2 linked regions of the Oryctolagus cuniculus genome follow. The protein of the gene in region 2 purifies or fractionates together with the protein of the main gene of each other region. This does not show direct contact. Links are inferred from orthologs where the notes say so. Each region holds a gene or a part of one and is shown on either strand. Other genes may lie near its edges.

Region 1 (7,229 bases), about 18 Mb from region 2:
CCAAATGCAGGCTCCGCAGGCAGGGCCTTCCTCGACTAAGAAGTGGACTCCCGTAGCCTGGGTGTCAGGCCCAAGCCCAAGCCCTAGGGCCATGGATGAGGCGCTGGGGCTCGTGGAACTTCCGGAACACCAGCCCGGTCCCCACTCTCTCCCTGGGCCCTCGGCAGCGCTGGCTGAGCAGGACACGCGTGACTCCCCCCACTTTACAGGAGTGACTGTTCAGCCGAGGCACACAGGGGAAGCTCAGAGGCTGGGAGCCAAGCACAGGCTGGCCCCAGCTCGAGAGAGGCAGAGGCGGGCTGGCTGGAGTTGTTCTGACCACGTGCTCCAGGGCGAGTTCCTTAAGCCATCAGAGCCTTGGCTCCCTGGCTGCCGGGTGCCCGCCTCTCCCCCTCCGGAGGCCCCCGGGCCCTCACCTTGACCCAGAGGTCCAGGTGCACCTTGTACTGCTTCTGCTGCTCCTCGGCCAGCTTCTTGTAGTGCTCCTTCTGGCTCTGCGAGATGCGCTGCCAGCGGCTGCCAATCTCCACCATGCGCTCTTTCAGTGGCAGGTGGTTCAGCTCGCCGTTGGACAGCAGCTCCTGGGAGAACTTCTGGTAACCGTTCCTGGGGGCGACGGGCAGGGCAGGCAGGGTCAGGACCCCCGCAGGGCAGCCCCCTCCCCAGCCCCAGGTGGGTGGCGGCCGCGGGGCGCTCACATGGGCGGCTTCTTGGGTTCCCCCTGGAACTTCATCTTCTTGGAAGAGTTGGCGGCAGCCGGAGGCGCCCTCATCTCACTCAGCTCCCTCTGTGCAGAAAACCATGAGGGTCACATCAGCCCCACCCCATGCCCGCAGCCCCCTCATCAGGCTCTCCTATGTGCTAGGCAAGGGGGGGAAACTGAGGCAAAGTTGGAGAGCAGCTTCCTAGTAACACACAGTTGGGACAGGTGTCAGTGCTTTCAGAGTTGCTTTGGTATCCCCACGAGCCACCTGGGGGGGTCGCGCCCCCCCCCAGTTTAACTGAGACAGAAGAGGTTTGCTCAGGCTCAAACAAGCCATGCTAGGATTCCAGGCTCCAGAGGCCCACGAGCAAGGACTACCCCGAGGGAGGTCCCCTGGCCTCCAAGGCAGGAGGTGGTCCCATCCCGCCCTCCCACTCCCACCTCATAGCGCTTTTGGTCTTCGGCCGCCTTCTTAATCCACATCAGCTTTTCCTTCTTCTCCATGTTGTTCCAGGTCATCTCCATGGCTTTCAAGGCCTTCACCCGGTCGTTCTGGGGGCAGACGGGGCGATGAGCTGTGCAAGGGGTCCCCAAGGGCCCGAGGCTGCCCTGCGAGCCCTGCCCCACTGCCCTGCCACCTTGAAGCGGGCCAGGTAGTCGCCGATGACGCTCTGCTGCCAGATCTCCTCGGCTCTCTTGGGCGACTCGGGCAGCTTGCCCCGCTCCTCGCGCTCGGCCCCGGGCTTCCTCTCCGACTGCGCCTTCAGCGCCGCCTCGCGCGCCTTGTACTTGGCCTGCAGCAGGGGAACCGCACAGGCGTCAGCTTCCCCGCCGCCCGCAGGGGGCGCGCGACGCCCAGTCCCGCAGCAGGAGGGCGGGGCCCGCGGCCGCGTGGGCGGGAGCAGCTGTCTCCCGCCTGGGGCTCAGCCTCCGCCCACGGGCCTGCTCCCCGGGGAGCCTCAGCCCTCAGCTGACAGCTTCCCGCCTTCCGGCTCGGCTCGCGGGGCTCCCAGCCCCGCCAGCTGAGCGCGGGCGCACGTGCGGGCCGCACGGGGCGAGGGGAGGCGCAGCGCTGGGCTCCCGGGCGAGCCTGACCTTCTTCTTCTCGGACAGGTCGTTCCACATGCGAGCCAGCAGGCGGGTCAGCTCGCTCTCCGAGAGCTCGGGCCGCTCCTCTTGCAGCTGCCGCCGCTTCTCCTCGGAGAAGATGAACATGGCCGACACGGGCCGCTTGGGCTTCTCCGAGCCCCCCTGTGCAAGTGCAGAGAGGGTCGGGGTCCACGGGGTGCCGACGGGGGAGCCCTGCCCCAGCCCCGACACCTGCCTGCCCGCCGAGGGGAGCCGGGGGAGCCTGCCCACCTTGCCTCCTTCCTGGGAGGGCTTCTTGGAGGCCGGGCTGGTGGCTTGCTTCTTGTTGATGTTCAGCATCTTCTCCTCGCCCAGGACCCGCTGCTGCTCCTCCTCGGGCAGGCTCTGGCACGGAGTGGGGAGGGCAGGGGTGAGGGCTCGGGCTCCCCAGGGCAGCCTCTGCCCAGCGCCCCGACCTCAGCCCGACGCTCACCTCGAGGAAACGCAGCAGCTCCACCTCGTAGTCTTTCTTTTTCTGGGAAGGTAAGGGGAACCGCGGTCAGCCTTGGGCAGCCTCGCCGGAGAGCCCGCAGGCCCCAGGGGCTGCGGCACGCGCGCGGCTCACCTGGTCGCACTTCTTGTGGTAGGCGTCCTTCTCCTTCTGCGACAGCAGCTTCCACTGCTGGCTGCACAGCACCATGCGCTCCGTGCTGGGCACGTCCTTCATGCTGGCCATGAGCTCTGCGCAGTACAGCGAGTAGCTGTTCCTGTGGGGATCGCGGGAGGCGAGGCGGCACCCCGTGAGCCACCTACGTGCCCGCCACAGGGCCTGGCCCCCGCCTGCCTGCCCGCCCGCCCGCCGCCCGGGAGCAGCGCTCACGGAGGTGGCTTGGTGGGTCGCCCGTCAAACTTGTCCTTGAGCTGGCGTTCAGCCTTGGTGAGGGTGGACTTGGTGATACCCTCCTCACTGATGTTCAGCTCGGGGTGCTTCTGGATATAGTCCCGCATAATCTCCTGCAGAGCGTGTGGGGGGGGGACGGAGGGCAACGGGGGGGCGGGGTTAGCCGGGGCAGGGGGTGGGGGAGAGCCGCTGGGGAGGGCAGGCAGGGAGCGAAGCTGGGGTGGCCGTGCGTCTGCCGCATCCCGTCTCCCGTCGAGGAGGCCTGGTGCCCTGCCCTGCCCTAGCCTGAGACCTCATGGGGCTGGGGGTGGGGTGGGGAGGTCGGGGCAGAGGCGAGGGGCCCAGAAGGCCCCTCCCTCGACGGAGGGGTGGGGAGCGACTGCCCCCCCGCAGAGTGCGGTGGCCACAGAGTGAGTGAGTCGGGGACAGAGAGGCTCGTGAAGAGCCGGACGGGGCGGAGCGCAGCGGAAGCCTAACCTCGTACTCCTTCCGCTGCTCCAGGGCCTTATGAATCCATTTCAGCCTCTTTTTGTCCGAGAGCTGAGACCACTGCTTCCCCAGGGAGTCCTTCACCTCCTTCGTAGTGGCCTGCAAACCAAAAGCCGTCAGACACACGCAGGCAGCCGGGGTGGGGGGGGGAGGGGGGCGCAGAGGCCCCCGCCCCCTCAGGCCACAGGAGGTCACGTCAGTGTCCCCCACAGGCCAGGAGGGGAAGGCGGGGAGGCGGGGATTCCGCCTGGGTGCGAGGGGACAGGCGCACACGCACACGCACACGCACGCTCGCACACCAGCTGGCCCCGGGCCCTGTCCATGCAGCCCACCCCTGGGGAGGGGCCTCCTCTCCTGCTCCCCTGCACCGTGCCCGGCCAACCTGGCGCGGCTCCCCCGGGCCTAGGCTGCGCGCGCCCACCTCCCCGGCTCCTCCTCGGCTGCCACTCACATCTGGCCGCACTTTGAGATACACTTTCTTCTCGTGGGTGTACCACAGCTGCTGGGGGGTTTTGGGCTTCTCGGGGATGTCCGACTTCTTGGCATTCTGGATGAGATCAGGGTGGTCCTCCCTAGCCAGGGCGCGGGAGCGAGGGTCAGCGGAGGACACTGCCAGGGCAGATGGGAGCTAACTGTCCCGCCGCCCGACCCCCCGGGGCCTCCCAGCTACAACATAGCGGGCCACGGCTGCCTGCCTGTCCCTGCCTGCAGCAGGATGCTAGGGTCTCCGTGGGACCCTCAGGAACCGCCAGCTTGAGGCTCCGGCCGGCGCTAGTCTGTCTTGCCGCATCCGGTGCCCCACGGCCCTCCTCCGGGCTCCACTGCCTTACCTGAACCGGGCCAGGTTTCGCTCGAACTCCTGTTTCTCTCTCTGGAAGTCCTGAATATACTTCATCTGGGGGGAGGAGGGATGGGGTCATCCAGGACCCAAGGCCTGTGTCACCCTGAGCTTTACAAAAGCCCCCCAAGCCCAGCTTGCCAGCTCCTGCGCCCCCAGTGTGTGCTGTGGAGGACGGGAGGGAGGCCCGCGACTTCCCGTGAGCCGCGAGCACCTCACACTACACCCGTGGGCTTAGAGCCACAGACATGGGCGCTATGGGGCTCTCCCACACACCAGCTCCACGGCCTGGTCACACTGCCAGAGGCGGGACGTGGCTCTATGTGGCCGCACGACAGGCCTGGCACAGCTGGGGCTACCCCAGCGCCTTCCTGACACCACAGGACCCGCACCACACAGGGGCAGGTGGCTTCGCTCCTGTTACTCCCTTGTCTTGCCGTCTGCGGCAGCTGAGTTCTGCTTCCAAACCCTGGGGGGGGGGGGCTGGGGGATCCCCCCCAGAGTGAATTCCTGCAATGCAAATCACATCCTCCCCTGTGTGCCCCCTGAATCCAGCATGTCCCCCCCAGCCCACTCCTGGGGGGGCAGCTGCCTTCACATCACATTCCTTCCCATATGGGACATCTTCCGATCCTTGTCAGCCATCACCTTCCTTGCCTCCCATGCCTTCCTCCAGGCTCCTGGCTGGCCGGCTGGGGTCCCCCTGCCCCTGCCTTCTCTTCTGTTCTTCTATCAGCTCGCGCCCCTCCCAGTCACCTGACTCCCTCTTTGCCTTCCTCACCCACCTTTCCTGTCCTGGCTCCCAGGCACCGTCTCTCCCTTTCACAACAGCAGCACTGCAGGCGCCAGGAGCAGAACCCGGACGTCTCTGCCCCAGCTCCGTCCTCCTCAGGCAAAAAGCCCGTCTGGAGCTGTTGGGAACTGCTCTGATCCGGTTCCCCCTCCCAGAGAAGTGACGTACCCAAGGCCCCACACCCAGCCAATGGGTGGTAGAGGCACGAGACCAGGCCCCAGACTGTCTCCGTTTCTTCTGTCCAATGCCTCCCCCCACCCCCAGCCCCACTGCTCAGCTCATTTGCCCGTCGGCCTGTCCCTCCCATGCTGAGTGGGGGCTGTGCACAGTCCGCTGCCCAGCGTCCTCAGCAGGGGCTCAGTGACAGCTCCAGCAAAGCGTCCTCCCACTCGGCTGGGGCAGAATGGCTTTACCCAACCAAGCTGGCTCCTCTCGGTTCAACACCAAGGGCATGGGAGTCCGCAGCCAGGGTATACGAACCAGAAAAAAGGGTGGTGGCTGGTGCCACCATCTTGAGCTGGCTTGTGCCTACGTCATCTCCCAGCAAATGTGCCTCTTGTCTCCCGCCCCCGCCCTTCACCCAGTTCTCTGCCTGTGCCGTCTAGACCCCTGCCATCGCCGCCCCCCCCCCCATCTCATGTCCAGTCTGCGGCGCTCCTCCAATGCTTTGCTACCTGTCTCTGCAACGGACCCCCTGAGCTCTGGGCTCGTGTCCATCCTCGCTTAGGAGGCCTGGGTCAAAGTTAATTTCCTCTGATGGTCTGGGGCATCACCTCATCTCCGCAGGGAGCAGCACGAGGTATCCTTGGGTGAACACATGTGCGTGGGGAAGGCATCCATCTAACATGTGGAGCCCGGGACTCCAAGTCTGTGACCTGAGGCCCTTCACCCTCCTGGCCCTCAGCTCCTGGAGCGCCAAATCCCAACAATCTCTCTGCCTGTCAGGCAATCATCAAAGGAGCCCACAGAGTGAAATTTCACGGGGGTGAGGAACTGCTAGGCAGGCCCAACAGCGAGGGCACACATTTGGGAGGAGAGCTGGAGAAAGCAGAAGGCCGCCGACTGTCTAGGCCCTGCCTCAACCTGGCTTCCGTCTGTGACAGTGCCTTGTGCCTGATCGTGTGTGGGCCTGGCCACCGGAGAGCCAAGACCCTACTTGGCTGTACCAAGGCACCCGCATCCCTCTGCCGGTGGCCTACCGCGCCCCCACCTGACCCCCACACACCATATCAGCCGCTCCCAGCCTTTCCCCTCCCCAGACCTGAGCCCCCCTCCCCCCACCTTCTTCTTCTCCGGGAGCTCCTTGTATTTCTTGGACAGAATCTTGGTCAGGTCCAGGTTGCTCATCTCAGGATGGAGTTTTGCATACTTGGCCCGCTTCTCCATGAAGAAGCGGAAGTAAGGGGTGAGGGGCTTCTTTGGGAAGTCTGGGTGTTTCTGGAGGAAACAGGGACACAGGCACAAGGCAGGTTAGATGCCACCCGTTCTGTGGACCTGTCCTCCCCTCCCCTCGGCCCCTCCCCCTAAGCACTCACCTTGAGTTTTTTGCCCTTGTAAGGGTTTTTAACATGTTCCTGAGCGTCAAGGATCAATTCTGTCAATGTACGGAACTTTCTCACCTGGAAGACAGAGGGAGCTGGGTGGAAGGAGAAGCTGGCAAGAGGGAAAGCCCACCCAGGAGTGCCCCCACCCCCTCTGCTCTCCACTGGACTGAACTGATCAGCAGAGCAGAGCCCCACGCCGGCTGCAGGGGCCCAGGCAGTCAGCACACGCCGGGGACCTCAGTGTCGCTATCCACTCAATCCCAGACAACGAGAACTCCAGGATGGACAGCATTTAAGGCACCCAGAGAGAAGGCAGAACTGCGAACTCCAGGCCAGTGCTGTCAACCGGCCCCATCCAAAAGGCACAAGGGCAGGCAGCGAGCTACCAGCAAGCACAGGAACTCCACTCCCGGTCCTGTTCCTTCCTGTTTATAGACCTCTGCCACCAGCAAGTGCACATGTGTGTGCGCACGCCCATGCTGGGGGTGGGGGCGGGGGTGCCGGTTACCTCATTAGAAATCTCCACCCATTTGAGCTTGCACATGTCTCCAGAAAAGTCTTTGAATGCTACTTTTTCCCAGTCCATGTGCGACTCGGTGGTTTTGAACTTGGAGCTATCATTGGATGGAAGGTTGTTCTTCATGCATTCCAGCAAAGTGAGCATGTCTTCCTGGGACCAGCGGTCTGGTGAGGAGCAGGAGAGAAGACATCACACCCAGCTCATGCACCCTCTCATTCTGCTCCCCAGTCCTTAAGCAGGCTTCCCCAGAGCAGCCCAGCCCTTGGTTTTCCCCCTAGATACAGGCCCATGGCCCATGGCTAAGCCCTGTGAAACCCGCAGCCACACTGGAGGAGGGCAGGGACTCAGTCCACCTTCCCAGGCTACCGTCATT
Region 2 (7,894 bases):
CCCTTTGATTAAAAGAAGTTACTGATTTCCCCTATAAGACCCTGGAAATTCACAGAGAAAAAAAGTGTAAACTTTTCGCTCAATACACACACCGAGTCTAAATCATCACGAGCTCCGCGTTCAGTTTGCTTAAGCTTCCCCACACACGCCACTCCCGAACCACGCCACGGCCACGGCCACACCCCCTCGGACCTCTGCAGCCGGGCGGTCTGGGAGCAGGCGGGCAGCAGCTGGGGCGGCGGGCGCCCCACCCCCGGCTCCACGCTCGCCAGGGCGGGGCCTGCACAGCCGGCTCCACGCTCGCCAGGGCGGGGCCTGCACAGGTGCACAGGGGCTCCTCGCCGACCACCCCCGGCTCCACGCTAGCCAGGGCGGGGCTGCACAGGCGCACAGGGGCTCCTCGGCGACCACCCCCAGCTCCACGCTCGCCAGGGCAGGGCTGCACAGGCGCACAGGGGCTCCTCGGCGACCACCCCCGGCTCCACGCTAGCCAGGGCGGGGCTGCACAGGCCCACAGGGGCTCCACGCTAGCCAGGGCGGGACCTGCACAGGCGCACAGGGCCTCCTCGCCGACCACCCCCGGCTCCACGCTAGCCAGGGCGGGGCTGCACAGGGGCACAGGGGCTCCACGCTAGCCAGGGTGGGGCCTGCACAGGGGCTCCTCGGCGACCACCCCCGGCTCCACGCTAGCCAGGGCGGGGCTGCACAGGGGCACAGGGGCTCCACGCTAGCCAGGGTGGGGCCTGCACAGGGGCTCCTCGGCGACCACCCCCGGCTCCTCGCTAGCCAGGGCGGGGTCTGCACAGGGGCTCCTCGGCGACCACCCCCGGCTCCTCGCTAGCCAGGGCGGGGTCTGCACAGGGGCTCCTCGGCGACCACCCCCAGCTCCACGCTCGCCAGGGCGGGGCTACACAGGCCCACAGGGGCTCCTTGGCGACCACCCCCCCTCCACGCTCGCCAGGGCGGGGCTGCACAGGCGCACAGGGGCTCCTCGGGCCCCGGCTGGGTCCCTTCTGCAGGCATCGGGCGCAGAGGTGGCAGCGGGGCGGCACGGCGGTGCCCACTCACCTGCTGTACGGGGGGATCTCCAGGCCCAGCTCCTGCATGAGCAGCCCCATGACGTCATCACACCGCCCGTGCAGCTTCAGGGCCGCCCCGTCGTCCTTTGGGGTCCACTGTGGGCAGGAAGGGCAGTGAGGAAGTCGCCCCACTCCTCCCCAGGGGCCTCCATCCCGGACACGTGAGCCTGCTACATGTCTCTGACTCTTGCTGCTTTTTTTTAAGACATTTATTTTCATTTTTATTTGAAAGGCAGAGAGGGAGGAGCCGGAGAGATTCCATTTGCTGGTTCACTCTCCAAATGCCTACAGTCTGGCCAGGCTAACACCAGGATCCCAAAACACGGCCTGGAGGTGGCAGGGGCTCAAGCACGAGCCACCAGCTGCTGCGCGCCGGGGTGCCCGGGCAGGAAGCCGGGCCAGGCCCAGGGGCCGGTGTGCCACGCAGGCCCTGGAGCAGGCCCCGCCCTGAGCACCGGTTACCTGCAAGTTCACGATGTAGAGCTTGGGCCGCCGGCTAGGGGGCTTGGCCATGCACCAGAGCCGCGGGTACTTCTTCAGAACCTGCACACACGGACGACAGACAGGGCACGTGCGCGCGCCCGCGGCCGCAGCAGGGGCGTGGCCCCAGCCCGGGCTCCCGGGTCCTCGGCGCCTACCTTCAGGCTGGACCCCAAACACAGGATGGCGTCCGCTTTGCTGGCGGCCTCAGTGGCTGCCTCCCAGTTCAGGGGCTGCCCCAGGGTCCCCCGCTCCCCGAAGTGCACGATGGTGTCGCGGAGCTGGGTGCCGCACTTGTGGCAGGCCCGGCCGGTCTGGTGTCGGTGGAGGGCGGTGCGCTCCGTCACGTCAAACACGCGCACGTACTCCCTGTTGGGGACGCAGGAGGTGCAGACCTGGGGGGACGACAGGCTCCGGTGAGCGGGGGCGCCGGCCCGCCCGCCCGTCTGCCCGTCGGCCCGCCCGTCTGCCTGCCTGCCCGCCCGCCCGCCCGTCTGCCCGCCCACGCGCCTGCCTGTCTGCCTGCCCGCCTGCCCGCCCGCCCGTCTGCCCGCCCGCCCGTCCGCCTGCCCGCCCGCCCGTCTGCCCGTCTGCCTGCCCGCCCGCGCGCCCGCCCGCCCGCCCGCGCGCCCGCCCGTCTGCCCGCCCGCCCGCGCGCGCGCCCGCTCACCTCGATGTACATGTTCCCGTGCAGCTCCGAGATGGCCGAGCGCGGCAGCCCGCTCCGCAGGTGGAGCCCGTCGCAGTTCTGCGACACCACGTGCTGCACCTGCAGGGGAGCCCCTCTGAGCCCAGCGACAGCCCCGACCCCACAGGAAACCTCGGAGAGCCAAGCTCTCGGCAGGCCCAGCCCGCAGAGTGCCGGGCCTGGAGCACCCGGAGGGCGAGCGTGCGTCTGCGCCCTTCCGGTGAGGCTGCAGCTCGGGCTCCCACGGGGCAGACGTGGCCACGCCAGATCCACGCTCGGCTCCAGGGCCTGGGCAGAGGGCGACCCTCCCCTCCTCGCTGGCTCCCCGTGCCCGGGAGGCCCTCGGGGGCCCTGGGGTGAAGCGAGGGGGGGGGGGCGGTGAGCAACCCTGGGCCAAGATGCCCTGGACGGGACGGCTCCCAGGAGGGGCTGCTGTTCTGTCTGGGGGGCCGCCGTGTACTCCTCCCACAGAGAGGGTGCAGCCGCTCCCCTGCGCCCGGGCCTGCCAGCCCCGTCCGGCTCTTACCAGCTTCTGCTTGTGCAGTCGGGCGATGCTCATGTGAGTAAGGGTGGGCTCGGCCTCACTCAGGTCGGCAGCGCTGCCGGCGGAAGGGAGAGTGGGGTGAGGACCTGCAGGCCGGGGGCTCGCCTGGGAAAGTGGGGTGAGGACCTGCAGGCCGGGGCTCGCCTGGGAAAGTGGGGTGAGGACCTGCAGGCCGGGGCTCGCCTGGGAAAGTGGGGTGAGGACCTGCAGGCCGGCGAGCCGAGCCCCTACCTGACGCGCCGTCCCTTCTGGAGCAGCGTCCACACGCCGTTGGGGCCCCGGTAGTCTGGGATGCAGGCTGCCTGTGCGCTCGGAAAAAGATAAGCCCAGTGGGCCGGCGGCACTGCCGGGAGGCAGAAACCCTGCAGGGGGGCGCCAGGCTGCCCACCGGCCGGGGCCCGGGCAGCTGCACCCCGGTGCGGCTTCCCTCCTCACTATCCTCCCAGGCCCCCGCGCCCCGAGAGCCGCCACAGCACGGCGCAAGGACCCGTGTGTCTCGGGCACGGAGGGAGGACTGCACAGGGCTCTGAACGGCCCCTTCCCCACCTGAACAATGACGGACGACCTGTGCACCCCCCCACGTCGCCCCTTCCAGCAAAGGACACAGAAGACTGCCAGGCCCCCCCTGCACGAGCCCCACCTCCCCAGGCAGCCCGAGCTCCGAGAAGTGCCCGCCGGCGCCAGGGGCCCGACACTGAGGTCACAGCGCCAGCCAGGCCACGGGGCCGCGGCTCGAGAACCGCCGGGCTGGGCTGTCCCACTCGCGGTGGAGACGGGAGGCTCAGCAGGAAGCGCTCAGTACCCTGGGCCCTGGCCCGTTGGTACCCGCAGTGCCTCCCCCTCCCCCTGCGGGCCGCCCCCGTCCAGCAAAGCTCCCCCTGCCCCAGCCCCGCCGTCGGCGGCCCCACGCCCTTCGCCTCCCGCTGCGGAACCGGCGCGGCGCGGCTCAGCTCTGCCCGCACACCCGGCAGCGCGGAGGCCGAGTCGCGCCGTCCAGCGCGGTCAGTGTCCCAGGAGGGGGCGCCCCACGCCCGCCCCGCGGCGCTCCGGGCCAGCGCGGCCCGGGCGAGTGTGGCTCTGGGCCGCGCGCGCCTCCCTACCGTGCTGATCCCCGCGCCCGTGTAGACGACCAAGTGCTTGGAGTTGCGCACGGCGGCGGCCAGCTCCCGCACCTTCCTCCGCAGCTCGTCCGGGTCATCACACACCTGCGGACACCGACCGCTCAGCCCGCGCCTGCCGCCCGGCCCCGCCGCGCGGCCCCGCACTTGCCTCCTGCTGCCGCCGCTTCAGCCCCTCCCGCCGCCGGCGCCGGCCCTGCAGCTCGGTCACCAGGTCCTCGCTCTCGGCCAGCAGCCGGCTCTCCTCGGCGCTGCGCTCGGCCGCCGCCTTCCGCAGGATGCGGGACACCTGCGGGCGGGCGGGCGGTGAGAGGCGGCCCGCGCGCCACGGACACGGACGCGGGGCGCGGCGCGGGCGGGCGGGCTACCTGGCGGAGGCGCTCCCGCTGCTGCTCCTCCCGCAGCCTCCGCACCCGCTCCGCCGCCTTGCGCTCCGAGCGGCCCAGACCCCCGGCTGCCATCGCTCCCCGCGGAGACCGGCGCTTCCGGCTTCCGCTTCCGCCTCGCCGGCGGCCGCCCGGGGCGCATGCGCGCGCGCCCCGCCCCGCCCTTCCTGCCCCGCCCGCCGCCCCGCCCCCAAGGAAGCACCTGCCAATCTCTTTTTAAAAGGTGTTTATTGATCATATACAAAATAAAGAAAACCTTATATATCACAAACATACACTATGTACAGCAATAAATACCGGCGGCCAGGCCCAGGGCCGCCCCTCCTGGACAATAACTTAGCAATAAATACGGCGCGGGGCCCCGGGGACAGGTCCCTCCCACGCACGCCCCACACCCACTGCGGGTCGCCTGGGCACCTCCCTTCCCTAGCTCTGCATCAGCCCCCCACCCGCCCTGCGGACCCCAGGGCACCCCACGGTCACCTCTGCAGGCTTCGGCCCTAAGCAGGGGGCCACCACCAACCGCACAGCCCCCGCACAGCCCGCACGCGCAGGCAGCCCTTGTCCTGCTGCCCGGGGTCGGGTCACCGGGAGAAGGCTGTCCGCAGCGACTGCGTTTGGTTAAAGGCTTCAGGGACTCGCGAACTGAACGGGAGGGAGGAGGGGCGGGCAGGGGCTGGGGCTGAGGGGAGGGGCCGCGCTCTGCCATTCCAGCTCAGACGCGCAGGGCCACCCCGGCTCTCAGAGCCAGAGCTTCGCGGCGGGCGTGCAGCGGGAAGCCTGCAGCCGGCCCAGCAGGTGCCACGCGCACAGCCCAGAGGCAGGAGGGGCCCCGAGCCCCACACACACACGCCTGCCTGCGTGGCACCGACGACACAGCCTCTGCTCTCCCACCTGCCCCAAGACCAGACAGCCAGCAGGAAGCCGAACCCGTGCCAGGAGGAGTCACTCAGTGGCTTCTGGGGGGGGAAAATCGTTAATGTGTTGGTTCCTTTCACCAAACCACAGCCTAAAAAATAACTCACAGGATCCCAGAGCGGAAGTGTGCAGCGGGCTGCCCGGGCTGCCCCGCTGTGGACGGGAGCTCTGGCCAAGCCGCCGCTCGAGAGAGGCGGCGGCAGGCACAGGGCCTGACCACCAGCCCAGAGCGGTGGCCCCCGACGCCGACCACGGAGGCCAGGGGTGCGCGCACAGACCCACTGAAGCCAGCAGGGAGCCCGGGCCACGCTGCGTGGGGACGTCTGCGTGTCCGTCCGGGATCAGGAGGGGCCGGGGCGGCGTCAGGCAGGAGGGGAGGCGCAGGTTTGGGTTCACTTGGCGGACAGGTTCGGGAGGCCCGGCCTCAGCCGCAGCCCTCCATCCGCCGTGTCGGGGGGGGGGGGGTGAGAAGAGAGAACACAACACCCTCACGGTGGGAGACAGACCCAGCACGACCCGAAGGACACACAGAGCCACGCGTGGACACAGAATCTACTGCGGAGAAATCAGGGTGAGGGGAGAGGGGCTCGAGTGAGGGGACGGGAACCCCAGCGCATGGCCTCGCCAACCCCAGAAGCCCTGGGGGCCGGATCAAGGCCCCGCGAGCTCACCCTGCCCTGCTCCTCTTCCTCACTCACCCCCCCTCCCGGGGACACCAGGGGCCAGGCCCTGCTCCTCCAAGGCTCAGGATTTCAGCTCAGGGATGCCACGCCCACACCACACCCATGTCTGGACTCCAGCCAGACAGAAGCAGACCCAGGCTCGGGACGCCCAGGGACACCGTGGCAGCCAGCGCTCCCCCGCTCCGCAGGTCACCTCGGGTCTACGCAGGGGGGCCTCCAAGCCCCTGGAGCCAACACACAGGAGCCTGTCGGGACCCAGGGGTGGCCGGCACGGGTGGCGCCTCTGCCTGCCAGGTGAAGCCTGAACGGTCAGCTTTTCATCTCCTGTGCCTCCCAGGGGTCCAGGCTGCCCCGAGACGATATCGGCGGCCCTGGCCAGAGGCCCACGTGGCCAGACGGGGCTGCGGCCTCTTCAGGTGGCACTCTGGGCACCCCCGCGCCCATGGGAGCTTCCTGAACCAGGCCTGGGAGGCCAGCAGCCTCGACTGAAAGCTGGAATGGGCAGAAGCACCTGTGAGAGTCCAGCCGTGACCCCTGGAAGACACAGACCCTGGAGGGAGGTGGGAGGAGGGGCCGTGGCCCCGAGCTGCCGGCACAGACAGGTGGAGAACAGGGACAGGACCCGGCCCCGAGCTCACAGCCCTTGTCTGGCCCTGGTGGCGATGCCCAGGCCCTAGGGGTGCTCCAGGTGGGGCCCACCCATGCCACCTGGAAGCAGCGCCCGCTGCGCACAGTCCAGGAGAGGTGGTGGGCGGGCCCCCCAGGGAGGCCAGGAACAGGGCCAGGGCTGGAGCCCAGGCGGAAGACAGCCAGGGGCACCCACGGTGACTCCCTGGTCCCAGCAATGCCGCCACCCAGGGCCAGAGGTGTGGAAGCAACACGGTGGGGGAGACCCCTCCCCCCAGCTCACGAGCGAAGAGGCCAGGCTGGCGGCCCCGGCGCGGCCCAGGTCCGGCACGCAGCAGAAGCAGGAACACAACCAAATCCAAAAAACGCACACGGAGAACGCACAGGACTCACAGGTCAAAGGTCACCAGGAGCACCAGCACTTGACGGCGGCACAAAACCTCACCAGGCACGGACGACACCACGGCACCGGCAAGAGACGGGAGCGGGAGGGCGAAGGCTAAGTCACTTTCGGTACAATTGCAAAAGATACCAAAGAGCTGGCCCGGCGGCGGCGCTGCGGCCTTTTTTTTTTTTTTGTCTTTTTTTAAACTAAGTTTTATAAATAATGTCTGATAACTCTGTGTATATAAAAACTAAACTCCAACAGCCACAAAGAGTTGTCCATAAGTTTACAAGAAAGGGATTTTTTTTTTTTTTTTTTTTTTAAACTAGCAAAGTTTCTGTTATACTTTCTTCCTTTTCCATTTATATGGTCAAATGTTCTGACTTTTTTAAAAGACAGTTTTATAAATACTCTGCAGCTCTTGTTTTTCTTTAACTTTTAAACATATAATTTAATAACTTCGTAAAAGGAACTTCTCTCTTTTAAATAAAGGGCTATCTAACCACACAAACAGCTCATGTAAACAGTGACACGGACCCAAGGCAGGACACAGGGACACGCCCTCCACACACGCGCACACCACTGGTTTGGTCTTGCTCAGTGCAGGGGTCAGTGCCCGGGCCGGCAGCCCACCACTGCCCGGGCAGAGCCCACCTCCGCCTGCCGGGCCCCGCTGAGCTGCCCGCGTGGGCCTGCGGAGAGGAGGGCCCCCAGCACCCTTCTGGTTGGCAGCCTGCGGGCCCTGAGAAGGGAGGGCAGACAGGAGCCCTGCCCACCCAGGGACGCCCGCGCTGCCTCCCTCCCACACCCGTCCACTCCCGCAGGGCCAGCTCTGGACTCCAGGCCCGTGCGACCTCGGCACAGAGGGGGCTGGGGGCGCCAAGCTGACCAATCGCAACGCACAGAACATAGACGACACGAGATCAAGGGGCCCAGCCCGGCGCCCCTGGGGTGCGGGTTGTGCTTTGCAGGGGGGGGAGGGAGGG

The links.
Region 1: the proteins of SIRT7 (region 2) and UBTF purify together in Homo sapiens (affinity purification with western blotting; 3 studies listed by BioGRID, with this or other methods). This does not show direct contact. The link is inferred for Oryctolagus cuniculus from reciprocal best matches to the Homo sapiens genes SIRT7 and UBTF.

The regions. Positions count from the first base shown.
Region 1 is NC_091448.1:19,045,234-19,052,462, reverse strand, and holds part of UBTF (nucleolar transcription factor 1), read right to left. Parts: intron 7,021-7,229; coding exon 6,845-7,020; intron 6,412-6,844; coding exon 6,328-6,411; intron 6,230-6,327; coding exon 6,074-6,229; intron 4,057-6,073; coding exon 3,992-4,056; intron 3,734-3,991; coding exon 3,613-3,733; intron 3,261-3,612; coding exon 3,150-3,260; intron 2,786-3,149; coding exon 2,652-2,785; intron 2,539-2,651; coding exon 2,397-2,538; intron 2,307-2,396; coding exon 2,265-2,306; intron 2,177-2,264; coding exon 2,063-2,176; intron 1,955-2,062; coding exon 1,799-1,954; intron 1,498-1,798; coding exon 1,342-1,497; intron 1,256-1,341; coding exon 1,145-1,255; intron 788-1,144; coding exon 699-787; intron 607-698; coding exon 417-606; intron 1-416. UniProt on the Homo sapiens protein: Recognizes the ribosomal RNA gene promoter and activates transcription mediated by RNA polymerase I (Pol I) through cooperative interactions with the transcription factor SL1/TIF-IB complex.
Region 2 is NC_091448.1:1,003,799-1,011,692, reverse strand, and holds the start of SIRT7 (NAD-dependent protein deacetylase sirtuin-7), read right to left. Parts: upstream 4,436-7,894; 5' UTR 4,371-4,435; coding exon 4,278-4,370; intron 4,199-4,277; coding exon 4,061-4,198; intron 3,997-4,060; coding exon 3,892-3,996; intron 3,094-3,891; coding exon 3,023-3,093; intron 2,847-3,022; coding exon 2,774-2,846; intron 2,329-2,773; coding exon 2,230-2,328; intron 1,955-2,229; coding exon 1,718-1,954; intron 1,623-1,717; coding exon 1,542-1,622; intron 1,176-1,541; coding exon 1,069-1,175; intron 1-1,068. UniProt on the Homo sapiens protein: NAD-dependent protein-lysine deacylase that can act both as a deacetylase or deacylase (desuccinylase, depropionylase, deglutarylase and dedecanoylase), depending on the context. Specifically mediates deacetylation of histone H3 at 'Lys-18' (H3K18Ac).